2 linked regions of the Lepisosteus oculatus genome follow. The protein of the gene in region 1 interacts with the protein of each later gene in a pairwise test. Links are inferred from orthologs where the notes say so. Each region holds a gene or a part of one and is shown on either strand. Other genes may lie near its edges.

The links.
Region 2: the proteins of lmna (region 1) and lamina-associated polypeptide 2, isoforms beta/gamma interact in a two-hybrid assay, tested with the Homo sapiens proteins (2 studies listed by BioGRID, with this or other methods). The link is inferred for Lepisosteus oculatus from reciprocal best matches to the Homo sapiens genes LMNA and TMPO.

What each region holds. Positions count from the first base shown.
Region 1 is NC_090722.1:3,105,295-3,112,485, forward strand, and holds the start of lmna (lamin), read left to right. Parts: upstream 1-4,139; 5' UTR 4,140-4,276; intron 4,277-7,191.
Region 2 is NC_090702.1:48,996,417-49,003,664, forward strand, and holds the start of lamina-associated polypeptide 2, isoforms beta/gamma, read left to right. Parts: upstream 1-4,158; 5' UTR 4,159-4,652; coding exon 4,653-4,895; intron 4,896-7,248. UniProt on the Homo sapiens protein: May help direct the assembly of the nuclear lamina and thereby help maintain the structural organization of the nuclear envelope. Possible receptor for attachment of lamin filaments to the inner nuclear membrane.

The sequences.
Region 1 (7,191 bases):
CCTAATCAATGTGACTAATGATCTCTTCTTGGCTCTGGACTCAAGCGCATTGTCTGCCCTTGCTCTGCTGGAACTAAGTGCTGCTTTTGAGACTGTTAATCATGCTGCCCACAGGAATTACTTAGAGACCCATGCTGGCATATCTCGGCTCGCCCTTAGTTGGCTTGGCCTTGATTTCTGATCAAAAGCAGTTTGAGTCAATAGGAAGAACTCTTTTGGTGACTTCAGGTGTTCCTCACGGCTTGGGTCTGGGCCAATTTCTTTCCAGCACCTCTGTGTTACAACTGAACGTGGTGATTAATGTATCTGTCACCATGGTGTTAATTTCCATGCTGGTGACATTGAGATGGACACGTGGACTGATCTAGGTGTCGTTCTTCTTACGGGTGACTTCTCAGAGGGTAAAACCTGGATATAACAACATTTCTTGCAGCTCAATATTGACAATGGTGATGTGAATGGAACTGGACCACCACAGAGTCTGTGCAGCATCAAGGTGTTTAGTGTGGTTCTGAGCCTGATGTTGAGAAACTGGTCCACACCTTTAGGATCGCCAGATTGGACTAGCTCCTAAGCACACTATGCACAGACTACAGTCTTTACCAGATCCAAACCTCCATATGAATATCACTCCTGTTCTAGCTTCCCTGCATTGGCTACCAGTATAGGATAGGGGTTAAAATCCTTGTCCTTCCCGACAAAGGACTACACAATCAGGCTCAAAAGCTTGCCGAGGTGTTATGCTCCATTCCAACAGCTCTGCTCCTTGGCTTGCTGTGTGCCCCATGATAAAACACCATATCCTGGATGCTATGTTTTCTACAGAGATTTGGAGGGCTCTACTGAAATGATACAGGACTCCCCGTCTCTGTCGGTCCTCAAAAGCCATTTAAAAACACATTTCTTCATGCTAGGGTCTGCTAAGTTTTAATACAGAAATGCTGTTTTTTTTTGTGTTCCTTCTACTTCCATGCTGTTGATTGGTCACCTCCAGGGTAAAGCGTTTTTGACATGTCTTGACATGAAAGGCGCTACATAAAATAATTATTATGAATGCTATTATTTTAAATAATATTCTGTCTAACATGGGGCAAGTCAGATTTCAAGGTGTAGCTTCCTTCGCCTTTTAGGATCTCTTATTCAGTCACGATCACTCATACGATCAAAGGCCGTAAATGCTGTGATAATTGCTCCTAATTGCCGACGAGGAAGGGAGCTTTGTTGTTTGGGATGGTCCTGTTTTTCACGCCTGATGCGCCTCAGAAGCAGGGGGTGAGGTAAGGCAGAGGGGTCTGTGTGATTGACGGCTCAAGTCACACCCACTAGAGGAAACAGAGCTCCTCCCCTTCTCAGCCATCCTGCTCAACAGCCACACGCGCGCAGGCAACGCACACACACACACAGGCTGACACATGGGGTTCTGTAGCAAAGGGGAGTGCTGCATTCAGCCGGGAATAGGAGTCAGGTGGCTATGACTTCATCTCTTTTCTCAGCTTATGAGGTCACCCCTCTCCTCATGCTGTGTGAGCCTCTTCCCTGTAACAGAAGAGTCTGGAAGCACGCTGACACACCTTTACAGCAGCTGCTGCACCAGGCCCGCAGTGGACCTGTGTTGTCCTGTCTTTTCTTAACTCCCCCCCTCTGATGCCACTCTCAGATCGGATATAGAGGGCCCCCTTTTAAAAGAAAATAATGGCTTCGTATGACGGCGTGCTTCTGCGGTGTTCCTCCCCATTTTCTCCCTCTGTCCTTCTCTTGCTTTGGGGATGGATGGGGAGGCTCCTGTTCCAGAATTCGGTTGCAGAATCCCCGGGAGTTCTCTCCGTGGGAAGCTGGAGAGGGCCTTCGTAGCAGAGGAGGGGATTCTCAATAAATCCAACACAAAGTGAGCCAATCGAGCACATACTGGGCTACGTGCTGAGGCAGAGTGGTTACCAGTATAACTGGCAATGCTCCTCCTTCCAGTACCTGGCTTTGCTACCACGGTGGGTTTTTGGCTCTGACTGGCACACCGGATACAGGTCTGTACAGCACAAGACCTCACTTCTGAAAGCCAGATTTCCTGTGGCCTTTAAAGACGACAGGTGTTTTCTCCACAAGTATTCACTATAAAAGCACCTGCAGCCTGCCTTACGTCAGCTTCCCAGCGAATGAGCTACTTTAAGCTGCAGGCTGACAAAGTTCTGCTCTGCAAGCCCACAGACCTCTGTATTTCTAAAACTCTTGGGTGCCCCTGGTTGCACCGTCTGGGGCTGGCTCCTGTTCCATCCCTTCAGAAGAAGAGTCCGAAGGCGGAACTGCTCTCTTGAAAGCTGAACCAAACTTTTCAGGAAATACTCACCTGTGTTTTGGAATTGTCCAGTGGCAAATTCTTCTACTGTAATGGATACCGATTTAAGACTGTAAACTAGTTTGCAAATGGGAGGATGTCAGCTGGTTAACTCGCCATACAGCTCAACTGGGAAGGCAGTAAAGAAGCTGGTTTGATCTTGGTTTTACGCAGAGTGGATGGTCTCTCCCCGACACTGTCCGTCTGACTGAGCCTGTTGCACACGAATTCGAACCTTTGACCTCACTCTTTCAGTCTCAGACCAGCATGTCTGCTCCTGGTACGGTGCTGCACTCCAGTAACTGTTAGCTGGGTGTCAGACTGCTATTTTATTCTTTATTCTCCTGCTCTTTCTTTCCTCCTTTGAGAAATCAAAAAAGGACTTTCTAGTTCCCCCAAATTATCCAGAATCTCTGATTCCACACAGACCTGATCACCATGTTGCTTTAAACTGGATATCATACTCAGACATGACTGACTGACGCATGGCTCTCCCCACACAGTCATTTCAAATGACAAAACAATATTTAAAAAGTACCTTGCAATGCTGGGGCCCTCAGTTCAATTCCAGACCTCGGCACCTGTCTGTGTGGAGTTTGCATGTTCTCCCCGTGTTTATGGGGGTTTCCTCTGGGTGCTGTGGTTTCCTCTCACAGTCTGAAGACATGCTGGTGGGTTAATTGGTTTCTGGGACAATCAGCCCTGTGTGAGTCTGTGTGACCTGCGATGGACTGGTGTCCTGTTCTGTGTGTGTGTGTCCTGCGATGGACTGGTGTCCTGTTCTGTGTGTGTGTGTGTGTGTGTGTGTGTGTGTGTGTGTGTGTGTGTGTGTCCTGCGATGGACTAGTGTCCTGTTCTGGGTGTGTGTGTGTCCTGTGATGGACTGGTGTCCTGTCCAGGGTGTGTGTGTCCTGTGATGGACTGGCGTCCCTGTGCCTGCTGCTCATCTGGACAGGCTCTGGCTGCTCCCAAGACCCTCAACTGGAAGAAGTGATTCGAAAACAGCCGGATGTCATTGTAATTTTAAATTTGACTTAAGTGTGCATCAATTCAGGTTGTGGAACAATGTGTATACATGGATCAGACAATTGGATTGGTAAGAAACACACAAAAAAGGGCAGTTTGAGTTTAGCTGTGCAGAAGGGGGTCTAATTAATTTCCCCTAAAGTATTTCTTAAAATCTGAGTCTTAGGGCTTCTTATAACAAGCCGTTGGATTAACTTTGAAAATGCAAGGGAAAAAGACAGAAGTGTCTTTTTTTGCACTGATATTTTACTGAGCATATATGATATAGGTCAATTTATGTTTTATATTTTAATGTAGTAGCTTTTAGGATCTCAACCCAGCACTGACATGTGGCCCTTTTGATCATATGTGACATTAATATCTAATTAATAGACATTGAATTAATGTTTGCTGGTGCAATTCAGATACGTGACATTAATTGACAGACTTTGATTTCATATTTGTTGGTACACCACTCAATATAGAGTAAGTCCTCATTTTAAGGACTACCACATTTAATTGACTATTGAGAACGCTTTCACATACAACACAGACGGCAAGTGATCGAACATTGGTCCACAAGGGGGCAGTGTGCACAAAGCAAAATAATTTCAGAGCAGCAAAAAGCCACATCAGTTCCCTGGTTATTTGTATAACACCGACGGTAGATAGGGATCTTTATTGTCTTTCATTTACATTTCCGAGATTGATAGTAGGGACGCACACAAATGAGACGCTATCTTTGATAACGAAATCGTTTTAAAACGAGGTTAGCGGTCGCCAGTGCGCTTTGGGTAGCGTACCCGTCATCCCGCGCGAGTGGTCAGCGGCGGTTTTCTTGAAGTCTCCCCGAAGATTAATCGGGATTTAAATGAAGAAACAAACAGACAAGAAGTCACCGAGTCCAGGAAATCGGCGGATTGATGCCGGCCCGGTTCTCAGGTAAAACGTCGCCCGTATTTTCTCTGTCTGTCGCTTGTTATCGCCTGTTCGTCATGAACTTGTCTCCCTTTGCGTGCTCGACTCTCTTTGAGAGAGATTTCCCCCTCGCCCCTTTGCAATGCGGGATCTGGAAGTAGCCCTTCTGAAAAGCTTGTATTGACTGAAGCCAGATGCTCTGTGCGCTCAGAAAGCAATGGTATCAATTACCCACAATAAGGAAATTAACACCTGCGCATGACCCAAAACAAAACAGGAGGCAAATTCGACACTATTTAAATGTGCGTCGGGCTGTGTAGGAGAAATGAGAAAGAGGCAGGTGTTTCTTTGAGTAAAAGTGGCTCATGGCGTCGGCTAGCTCGTCCGTCCTGGGGGTGTTCGGACGAGGGTGGCTGCGGGTTTAAAGTTTGCCGCTATCTGCAGGAGCCCAGCTGTGCTCCGACAAATAATTCTGCCCCAGAATGAGGTGCCCAGCTTTCAGGTTACAGTAGTTGTCGTTCCTGCGGCTTGAAACGGAAAAATCGTTTGTGAAAGTTTTCTCTTTCGTTTCCGTAAGAAACTAGTAATCCACGTGTCGGGAATGAAACTTGGGCCGTGAGTGTGAGTTCTTCACACTGGCCGGTGAAGAACCGTGTGCGGAGATTGTGTTTGTGAGCACGTTAAAGGCGGGTCATCGAGGCGCCTCTTGGCTCAAATCATAACATAACTTTATTAGCCCTTTACAATTTCTTGCATTAGGAATTTGTCTTTTCACATACTCCAGCTTGCTCTCCTTGAGACACACAGACGGGGAGAGAAGCTGGGGGTCAGAGCGCAGGGTCAGCCATTTATACGGCGCCCCTGGAGCAGTTGGGGTGAAGGGCCTTGCTCAGGGGCCCAAAGGAGTAGGATTCCTCTGCTGGCTGCCGGATTTGAACCGGCAACCTTCCAGCCACAGAGCCACCTCAACAGCTGTTAGGGGTTTCTTCCCGGATCTCCAACATCGGCCCTCCCAGGACACTGTCCTGACGACTCGGGCAGTCAGCCCCTTGTGATGAGGTGGACTGCTTCTGGCCTCAGTGGATGCAGTGAAGAAAACATGGCTGTACTGTGACATAAGGGGCACAGGGAGGGGAAACAGCACAGAGATGGGTCTGAAGTGCAGTAAAAGAAGTCGTATATGTTTGAATTGCAATTACGATGCTTGAGAACCGGTGTTGGATCCTACAGCTGTACTACCCAGTAGTAACGTGTTGGCGATCACCACTAGATGGCGGTACGGAGCCGCGTCGCGCTCTGTCTGTGGCCGTGTTCCCAGGTCTATAAAAATATATTTGACACAATGAAACCCCGAGAACTGGGCTCCGCACCAAATGCAACTTGAAACTTGTACTTTTATTTTTTAAAATCTTTTTGCTCCAACTGCTCTCCCCGCCCCCCCTCCAGGCAAATCAACTGACTGCAAAAATCGGCCGTTTGAAACTGTGCTGCACTACAGAGGCAGCTTAGCGGTATTCCAACAGTATCCGAATACCGTCTCTTTTGAAATGAATTCGTGTGCATCAATGTCAGCGTGCAGAGAAACAACATTCCCAGGAGAAAGACCAACGGGAGCTGGCTACACAAACAGGGCATGCTCCTCTGCTTCAGGGCTCTGAGTGGGCAGTTTTGTGATGGAGAAGGTGGTTTTCTGATCTGCGTACAAAAGAAGGGAAGAGTCCAAATACTTCATAAATAACTTAAGAAAGGTCATTAAATAACTGAGTTTAGAGTGTCTCCTTATTGGTTCATATGACATTTTTCTTAAATTGTTACAGCTGTACCAGTTGGTGCAGCTGGATGTCTTATTGGAACAATCTGAGAGGATGTGTTCTGCTCAAGTAGGCAGGGACTTGAACCCAAGCCCTACTGCACCACACTGCTTTGTTGAAGGCTCAGACCTCATTTGAAATGGGGTCCCCACCTGCAGTCTTTGTGGGTCGTAGTCCAGGACGTTCTTGGGAACCGTTTGAACATCAAGAGCTAAAAAGGGCAATGGGGAGGATTTAAACGGTACTATTCAGCATAAAAGTACGATTAAGACATTTTTAAAGATGAACACTTTTCTTTAGCTCAGATGCCAATCCAGAGGACGACTTCGAGGCCAATAGAGAAACCAGGGTCCAAGCAGAAGCTTAGAAGACATTGTGTTGAGCTCTGGGACGGGAGGCGCTTCCTTACACCTAGAGTTGTAGGGGTGTGGAGCAAACTGCCTGGTCATGTTGTACAGCCCAGTTCAGACAGTTCCTTCAAGAAACAGGTCGAAGGAAGTCCACTGATTGTTATTGATTTATGGATCATTATCAATCAGTTTCTAGCAAACAAATGAGTAAGATGAGCCCCCTCTCTAACTCTTCTCTGGTCCTGGTGTTCTTTCTTGTGCTGTTAAGCTGTTGGTGTGAATGAAGCACGAAGCTTGCTGGGTTAAGACCCCCGGTGTCACAGGTGGGGTCCCTGCTTTGCGAGGCCGGATGTTTGTGCGTTGCTGTTATCGTGTTTCCCCCCCCTCTCTTCCCCAGAAAGAATCACTCTTCCCTCCCAGTCTGGGTAAGCAGCCGAACGCGCTGCAGGGACGTTCCGAAGGAAAAGGCAATTACACACCATGACACAGTCACACACAGTCACACACACATCCTACTCGCAGAAGTCAATCTGAAAGGCACGTTTCCGGATCTTTCTTTGTCGGTGGGTTGTGCTCTGTGCGATTCAGATCGTGGAGTGTTTGTTCCTGAGCAGCTGGGCTTTGCTGGAGGATGCGACGCCCCTCTCTCTCTCTCACACAGGCAGGGCTGTGCTTGGCTGAGTAACCCCTAGTTACCACGTTGTGTTAGTTTCCACTCACTCGGGCTGTTGTGGTTTTCCTACGTCAGGAAGTGGTGGTTTCCATGCTTTAGCCTCTC
Region 2 (7,248 bases), on another chromosome or scaffold:
CAGTCCCAACAGCGACGATCAGTACACGCCGTGGTTTAAACGCGTCTCAAAGCGCCGGGCGTTTATTATTATTATTATTATTTAAAAAAGTGGGAAAGGGGGAGAGACCATAAAGGTGCCGAGGTTGGCTAATTGCCTGCACCTGCTACTATGTCAGGAATGTCGACTAAACTGATGCTCGTCCTGATACGACAAATTACCCCCCCCAGTCCTCACGCCAGCGGTCGGCAAACAGTCTTCTGGCACGTAAAGACTTTGGAAAAGAGCTGTCCAGCAGGACCTCGTGGCGCAACGGTAGCGCGTCTGACTCCAGATCAGAAGGCTGCGTGTTCGAATCACGTCGGGGTCACTCCTCCTTTTAGCCCCACATTTAACACCCATTCTCCCCGGAACCCGATTCATCATTTGTCAGATACGCCACTCGTGTTCCAGGCAGAGCGCTGCACCTTTTCAATTCAATTCACGAGGCTTTATTGGCATGTCCAATGAGTCAAACCAGTGCTCCCCAAGCAAAACAAATACAACATGAAAAAAAATCTGCAGGCATTTACAATAAAGACACGATCATACGATATTTACATATGGAGCATTATTGGGAGAGGCTCACTGCTCCTCAGGCTGGGACAGGAGATCACATACTTGGCTGCCAGTTCAACAGAGTTCCCTCCTCCCTCTCCCAGGAGGATTGGTACTTGTTGTGATTCTGGCAGGTGTGGGAACTTTGGGATTAGTTTTGTAAATTTGGGGAAGAATGTTTCTCTCCTCCCAGAATATTTGTCACAGTGCAGTAGGAAGTGCACCTCTATCTATATTCGCCGTCTTATAGGGTCAAAGCTGTATCCTGAGATGGAGAAAGATAGAGAAGGAGCCACAAAAAAAAAACGAACTAGGTTTTCCAGACAATCTGGAAATGACAGGCAGGAGAGACCCAGCAAGAGCAGAAGATGGCCCAGGAATTGTTGTTGGTTGTTCACAGAGATACCCAGCTAGAGAGCGTCACTCCAGAGCAGCTACTGCTGGATAGACGTGTCCCGACCGCAAATCATTACCACGACGTTTGGTCGATCAAATAATTATATTATTTCAATATATTGAACTAATATAGCATTCAATTGAACTCCCCCACCACCACCACCCTCCTTTAAAAATAAACAATTAAACTTTAGTAAGACAAGGTGACAAGAACGAAACTTAAAACTACGCACACGGAGTATAAAAGTGAGGTATTAAACTAGGATTACGATTATGATTACAGTGTGTTTGGAACAAAACGATTCAGGGGGGCTCCCAGGGAAATTGCTGCTTGATCCAACGACGGGTGAGCCGATTTCCTCCGGTTTACAAACCGGTCCCTCTGTCTCCATCACCGTTCTCCCGGGGGAAAGGGAAAGGCTCTGCGTCTACACTGTTGTTTGTCAACAGTGGGCATGTGAATTGTTTGGCGGGAATGTTCGGATGATTTGGTTTTAGAAGACCTTTACTTGGTTTTGGTTGGAAGGTGCCCATAAAACTGTATTTACTATTTCATTTATACAGTTGTGTATTTCTATCCTGCTGAAAGCATAATCCTTTCCAGAACACGAGTGTCACGGGCAAGTTCATGGGGCTGTATATTCTTGTATTTTACCTTGGTCAAACGTTTCCTTGGTTTTCACGCTTGGCCGTAGAATTATAATAATCCAGTTCTAGGAGACTGCATTGCAGCTTTCACCAACTGTATTGTTTAGACACAAACGTTTCAGATTTAGACTTATCACACGATAAAATTTGAATCCACTATATTGTCGCTACATGTCTGAGCTACCTTACTCAATTTTAGTATAGCATTGATAAGTACTCACCAGTAGACCACTTAAATATACTTGACCATGTGCATAATGTGCAAAGAAATAGCTTAACAGCAATCATGTCTTCCTACGCCACTGTGCCTGGCTGTGCTGTGACTCTAACCTACAGCATACAACAGGGAGAGGTACTGAACACCTCACCACAGAAATTAATTCCCTGTCGGGGTATCAGACACAAGACAAGACAAAAGCACAGACAAGAAAGACTCAAAAAGAGGGGAACACGCATAGGGAAATACAACTGCACAAATAACCGACAGCAACACTGTCACACAACAGTCTGTCTCTGAGTCATCAGCCTCCGGTCTCTGTACGTGCGCAGACTCGAGCCCAGCCATAAGGAACACCTCAGCAGGGGTGCCAGAGGGTAGGGACTTGCAGTACCATGTCCCCAGGAGAACCTCTCTCTCCGCCCGCCTCCCTCCTGACCTCCAGGAGGAGAATTCCTTCACCTTCATTCCTGATCTCCATCTGGTTACCGCAGGCCAGGGGTGGCCAGCTCTGGTCCTGCAGGGCCACGGTCCAGCGAGATCTACAGACCACCCTTATATCAGCAGTTGGGTAAAAACAAGGGTAATTGCGTTTCGACCACATAAGCAAGCAGGGCTGTCCAGTCCCGGTCCAGGAGGGGTCAGTGTGTCTACGGCAGGGCAGTCCAGTCCTGGTCCTGGAGGGGGCGCTGTGTCTACGGCAGGGCCGTCCAGTCCTGGTCCTGGAGGGGTCAGTGTGTCTTCAGCAGGGCCGTCCAGTCCCAGTCCTGGAGGGGTCAGCGTGTCTTCAGCAGGGCCGTCCAGTCCTGGTTCAGGAGGGGGCGCTGTGTCTACGGCAGGGCTGTCCAGTCCCGGTCCTGGAGGGGTCAGTGTGTCTACAGCGGGGCCGTCCAGTCCTGGTCCTGGAGGGGCCAGTGTGTCCACAGCAGGGCTGTCCAGTCCTGGTCCAGGAGGGGTCAGTGTGTCTACAGCAGGGCTGTCCAGTCCTGGTCCTGGAGGTTCAGTGTGACAGGTTTTCCAGGTCTCTTTAAAGCAGCAGCACCTGAAGAGCTGGGAGAAGCTGAGAAATGGCTCCCGTCAAGCCGGCATCCAGCTGGTTTAATTCACTAAGAGTGGAGCTGGAATGAAAACCTGGCGACACAGCGACCCTCCAGGATCAGGGCTGGGAACCCCACTTTCAGCTACATGGAACGTGAAAAAAAAATGATTAGTCCACAGTCTGTCCAAAGTGCAGGACAATACGTCCAAAGTTCCCAACCAAAAGAGGAGGATCGTTTTTGGGTGCAGGACATCAGGACAAGGGGCGGGTGACAGTCCGGAGTCTCTCTGGTATCAGGAGGTGATGAGGGCCAGCTGCATGGAGAGTCTCCACTTCAAGAACTTTATTTTCCCATCACAAAGAAAGATGGAAAAAAAGCAACAAAAACACTACAGCATTATATACCCACAGTTTAATGGCATATAATATCATATATATAAATGAAGACAGGCCAAAAAAATACAACTAAATTCACTTGGTTCAATAAAGGCAATATTAAAAGACAATATTCTACTTAAAGAGTTTTGCACAAGAACATCCCCTTCCTCCCTTGTGTGAGTTCTGTATAAGGACTCCTAGACTCTGGTATGGAATGCAGAGGAGAGGGGCGAGATTTCCTGCACCTGCAGGGACTGACGCTTTGTGTGAACCTCATTCTCGGGGTGTCCGCCAGAACCCCGCTTTTCACACTCCCCTCCCCCCCCCGAAAAGAGAGAAAGCTGCGGTATCGTGGCCTCGTGGTGGAGCCCAGGGGTCTTGATGCACTTTGTAAACGAGTCCCGTTCCCCAAGAATGGCCCAGTTCTTTCACAGGAGGCTTGTCCTCACATACTGTACTGTATACAACCCATAACACAGTGCGTTACGTGCCCCTGGACTATAGTGACACCAGTAGTAGTGCAAGCGTTGTACTTAGTACTTATTTCAACGCCACATTACTGGTCGAGATTGTCCGGCTTCCGAAACGCTTCTTAATCGGTCTGGTTCGTTGCCGTGAAGACGCGTTTGACATTCGGATAAGAAAATACTGAAGTGGTGCAGAAATCACCCGATTCATTGCTGCTACATTGCAACGCAACGGTACAACACCCGGCTATTCTACACTAACGAGCAAACTGATGCACTTCCAGGCGATTTCTGTTTTCCTACAAGCGCGTAATTATAATCCCATCATCATCATCATCTTTCCAGGGCTTGTTCCTCGCCGCAGCACAGTTCAGCCCTCAGTCCTGCTCGCTCCTGGCGCGTACAGACCCAGACCCCGGCTCCAGGAGCCCCTAGCCCTCAGCTTCTGCGCTCCAACTTGAAGCCAATGGCGAGGTCCTTTCTACAGCTACGCCGCCCAATGGCGCTCGGCTTTACTGGGCAGTGAGGCGAAAGCCGCCCCCCCCCCCTCTTTTCTCGCTGCTCTGGCTTCGTAGTGGGGCCGGGTTGTTTGTCTGCGCTCGCTAGGGTGGCGTGTTTTTACACACACACACACTTAAACAAGGGAGCTGGAACTACACTGCTTTCGCGCATCGCCGCAGCCGCAGAAACCCGGGGAGCAGGTCTGAAGCGCAAGAAGGAGAGGAAGGGGAGGGGTGGAAGAAAAGGATAGCGGTTCTCGCGAAGGATATCGACTGTCGTTGGCGTTACTGTCTTACTCCAACAAGAGGCGCCCGCTGCACGTTTTTTTTTCTCCCCGTCCAGTTCAATTTTCTGCGCGTCGTAGCGACAGGCGCCGATTCCCCGTGTCGGGTCACCACCACCAACACCACCACCACCACCACCAGCAGACATGTCGGAGTTCCTGGAGGACCCCTCGGTGCTGACCAAGGATAAGCTGAAGAGCGAGCTGCTGGCGAACAGCGTGCCTCTCCCGAGCGGCGAGCAGAAGAAGGACGTCTACGTCCAGCTGTACTTGCAGCACCTCACCGCGCAGAACAAGGCGAGGAGGAACCGGGGTGCCCCGGAGGCTTTCTCCAGCGACGAGGAGCTGCCGGCTGCGCCCCCGGTCAGCAACAGGAACCGCTCCGGGAGGGTAAGTCTGCACTTTGTCCCGGCCGCCGGCGGCGGCTGCTTGAAGCGCCGGCGTGCCTGCAGCTCTTGGTTACATTGTGTTTCCCTGCTGCGGGACCCGCTAGCTCAATGAAACGCCAGTTTGAAAAAAAAAGCGTGCAACTGTAGCCGGGGCAGGCAAGCTTGTATCGACTCTCCTGATTTTATTAACCGGTGACCGCGTTGTTTTAGCACTTATTTGTCCCATTTAAAAAAAAAAATAATAAGAGAGGACCGGGTATTTATTTCTGGTATTTCTTTGTTTTGTTTTAACCAACTACAGCGGGTCAAGATTGTGTCGGCTTGTGCCGGGGTCGCTCGTTCAAGCGCGGATTGTTGTGAATTGTCGCTTGTGCTCTTCGGTGGTGCCTCCTGTCAAAAGTTAGCTCTGGCCTGTGCAGGACCACCACCGCCAGCCAGGCATGCGTTACAATATGGTATAGAGGTCTGCATGTTTTCTCCGCTGTTTACATTTATTTCTCTTTGAAGAACCTTTTTTTTTTGGTCTTAGCCCAGACCGAAGTAGGTCTTCTACAGATAACGTTGATCTTGGGGGGGGGGAGAGACCACAATGCGGTGCATGAAGGCGATTGAAAGCGATTGGAGTGGGAAATGGACAGGTGCCGGAGTGCCCGTGTGAATTTTGGGGGGAAGTGCGAGCTTCATTCACCTGTCCTGCGAGTGTGAGCGATGCTGTCCCTGAGAATCGCCTCCGTCTCTCACTTTCCCGCTTAAACACTCGGACCGCCTTCGGAGCCGAGAGCCCCTCGCTATTGTGTGGGAACTGCCTTTCGCCATTAATAATTCATTTTCGGCTGCGCCGAGACGCGCCGAAATCATATACCTCGCCGGTGTTCAACCTGCTTCGAAAACGTCGTGCGTTTTTGTCTGAGCGGTTTCCGAGACGGAGATCGCAAACGGGTTGAAATATTTCGTAGCGTGGCCGGACGGCGCTTCTGTGTTTTGAATCCGACGCGGGCAGCCCGGTCACGCTGAAGGGAAATAAACAATAGAGCAAGAACGGGCTCTGCACGGAGTCGAGGAGCGATTGCACATCCGGATCAACCGTCTGGGCAAAATCACGGACAAATACGTGAAATGATCAAATCATTTTAGCTTAAGCAGTAAGAAACGGAAGGCGCGCATCGACAAGTACCGAAACTTAAAAAAATATGTTCTCTGAATATTCAACTGTAGCGGATCATCTCCATTATTTAAATCGAAGTTAAGGCGCTGCATACAAAAAAAAACTGCGTAGCGGGTATATCGTTTTATAAAACTTGATAGGGAAAATGTCTCTTGTGCGGAGTTCGGTAAATCACGGTAAATAACTCTTGGATATCTGAATAATAAAAATATCTGACCCCAGAGCCACATTCTGCGGTTCAAGATTTTGTACATTTGCTCCCCGATAGCGTCCTGCGGGTTGTCTTGGGGTGTGGGGGTCCACACGGGGTGGGTTCGGTCTTCATGTCACCTGGTGGATGGGTGGGGGGATTTGACTACTTTTTGTTAACTATTCTTGCCGCAAAAGAAAGATTTAAGATAAGTGATTAGATTTTATTGTCCCCTGAGGGAATTTTGTTTTATGGACACGCAGCGCTCCTATACATTTAAATAGAATGCAAACAAAAAAAAGAAGAAAAGAAAACATTGCACATTATTCTATTACAATAAATAAGAAAAACATTGTACATCAATCTATTGCGCATGTACAATATAACACACCACAGCATGTAACATTTATAGCGCATCACAAAAATACAAGTCATAGGTTTATTCCGTGCTGGAAAGAGAAGAAAGAAAACACCCTCTTCAGGTGTGAGCGTCACAAAAACTGTGTAGCGGGTAACGCCACAAAATAGGATCCGTGTCGCAAATAGTACTGTGGAGTTTAATAAAATAGACATGCTACAACACTTTCAAAAGGGCATACGTAAACAAGAACCAAGAGAAACAAGAAAAACAGCAAAATAACAATAACAAAAAAAAATTAATAAGGAGTAAAGAAAAAAAACCCTACAGAAAGCACAGGAGGACAGGTGTCCGTGTGGCAGCAGGGCGGCGAACTGGAGTTGAACTTTAGCGGAGTTGTGTTTTACCCCGGTAAAAGTGCGGTTTGTGCTGAGGCGGGTTGCTGTGCTTTTAACCTTGATTTTGTGATTTTTTTTAAACATTTTTTTGTGATTCTCGTATTTTGTGAGCTCGCAGAAAAGACATTTCATTGCCATCAACTACCGCTGCGCGCTGTATTGTTGTGCATTTGATCAATAAACTTTGATTTTGATTTGATTTTGTTTAAAAAGAATTCCACAGCTCTAAAAGGTTGTCATTTA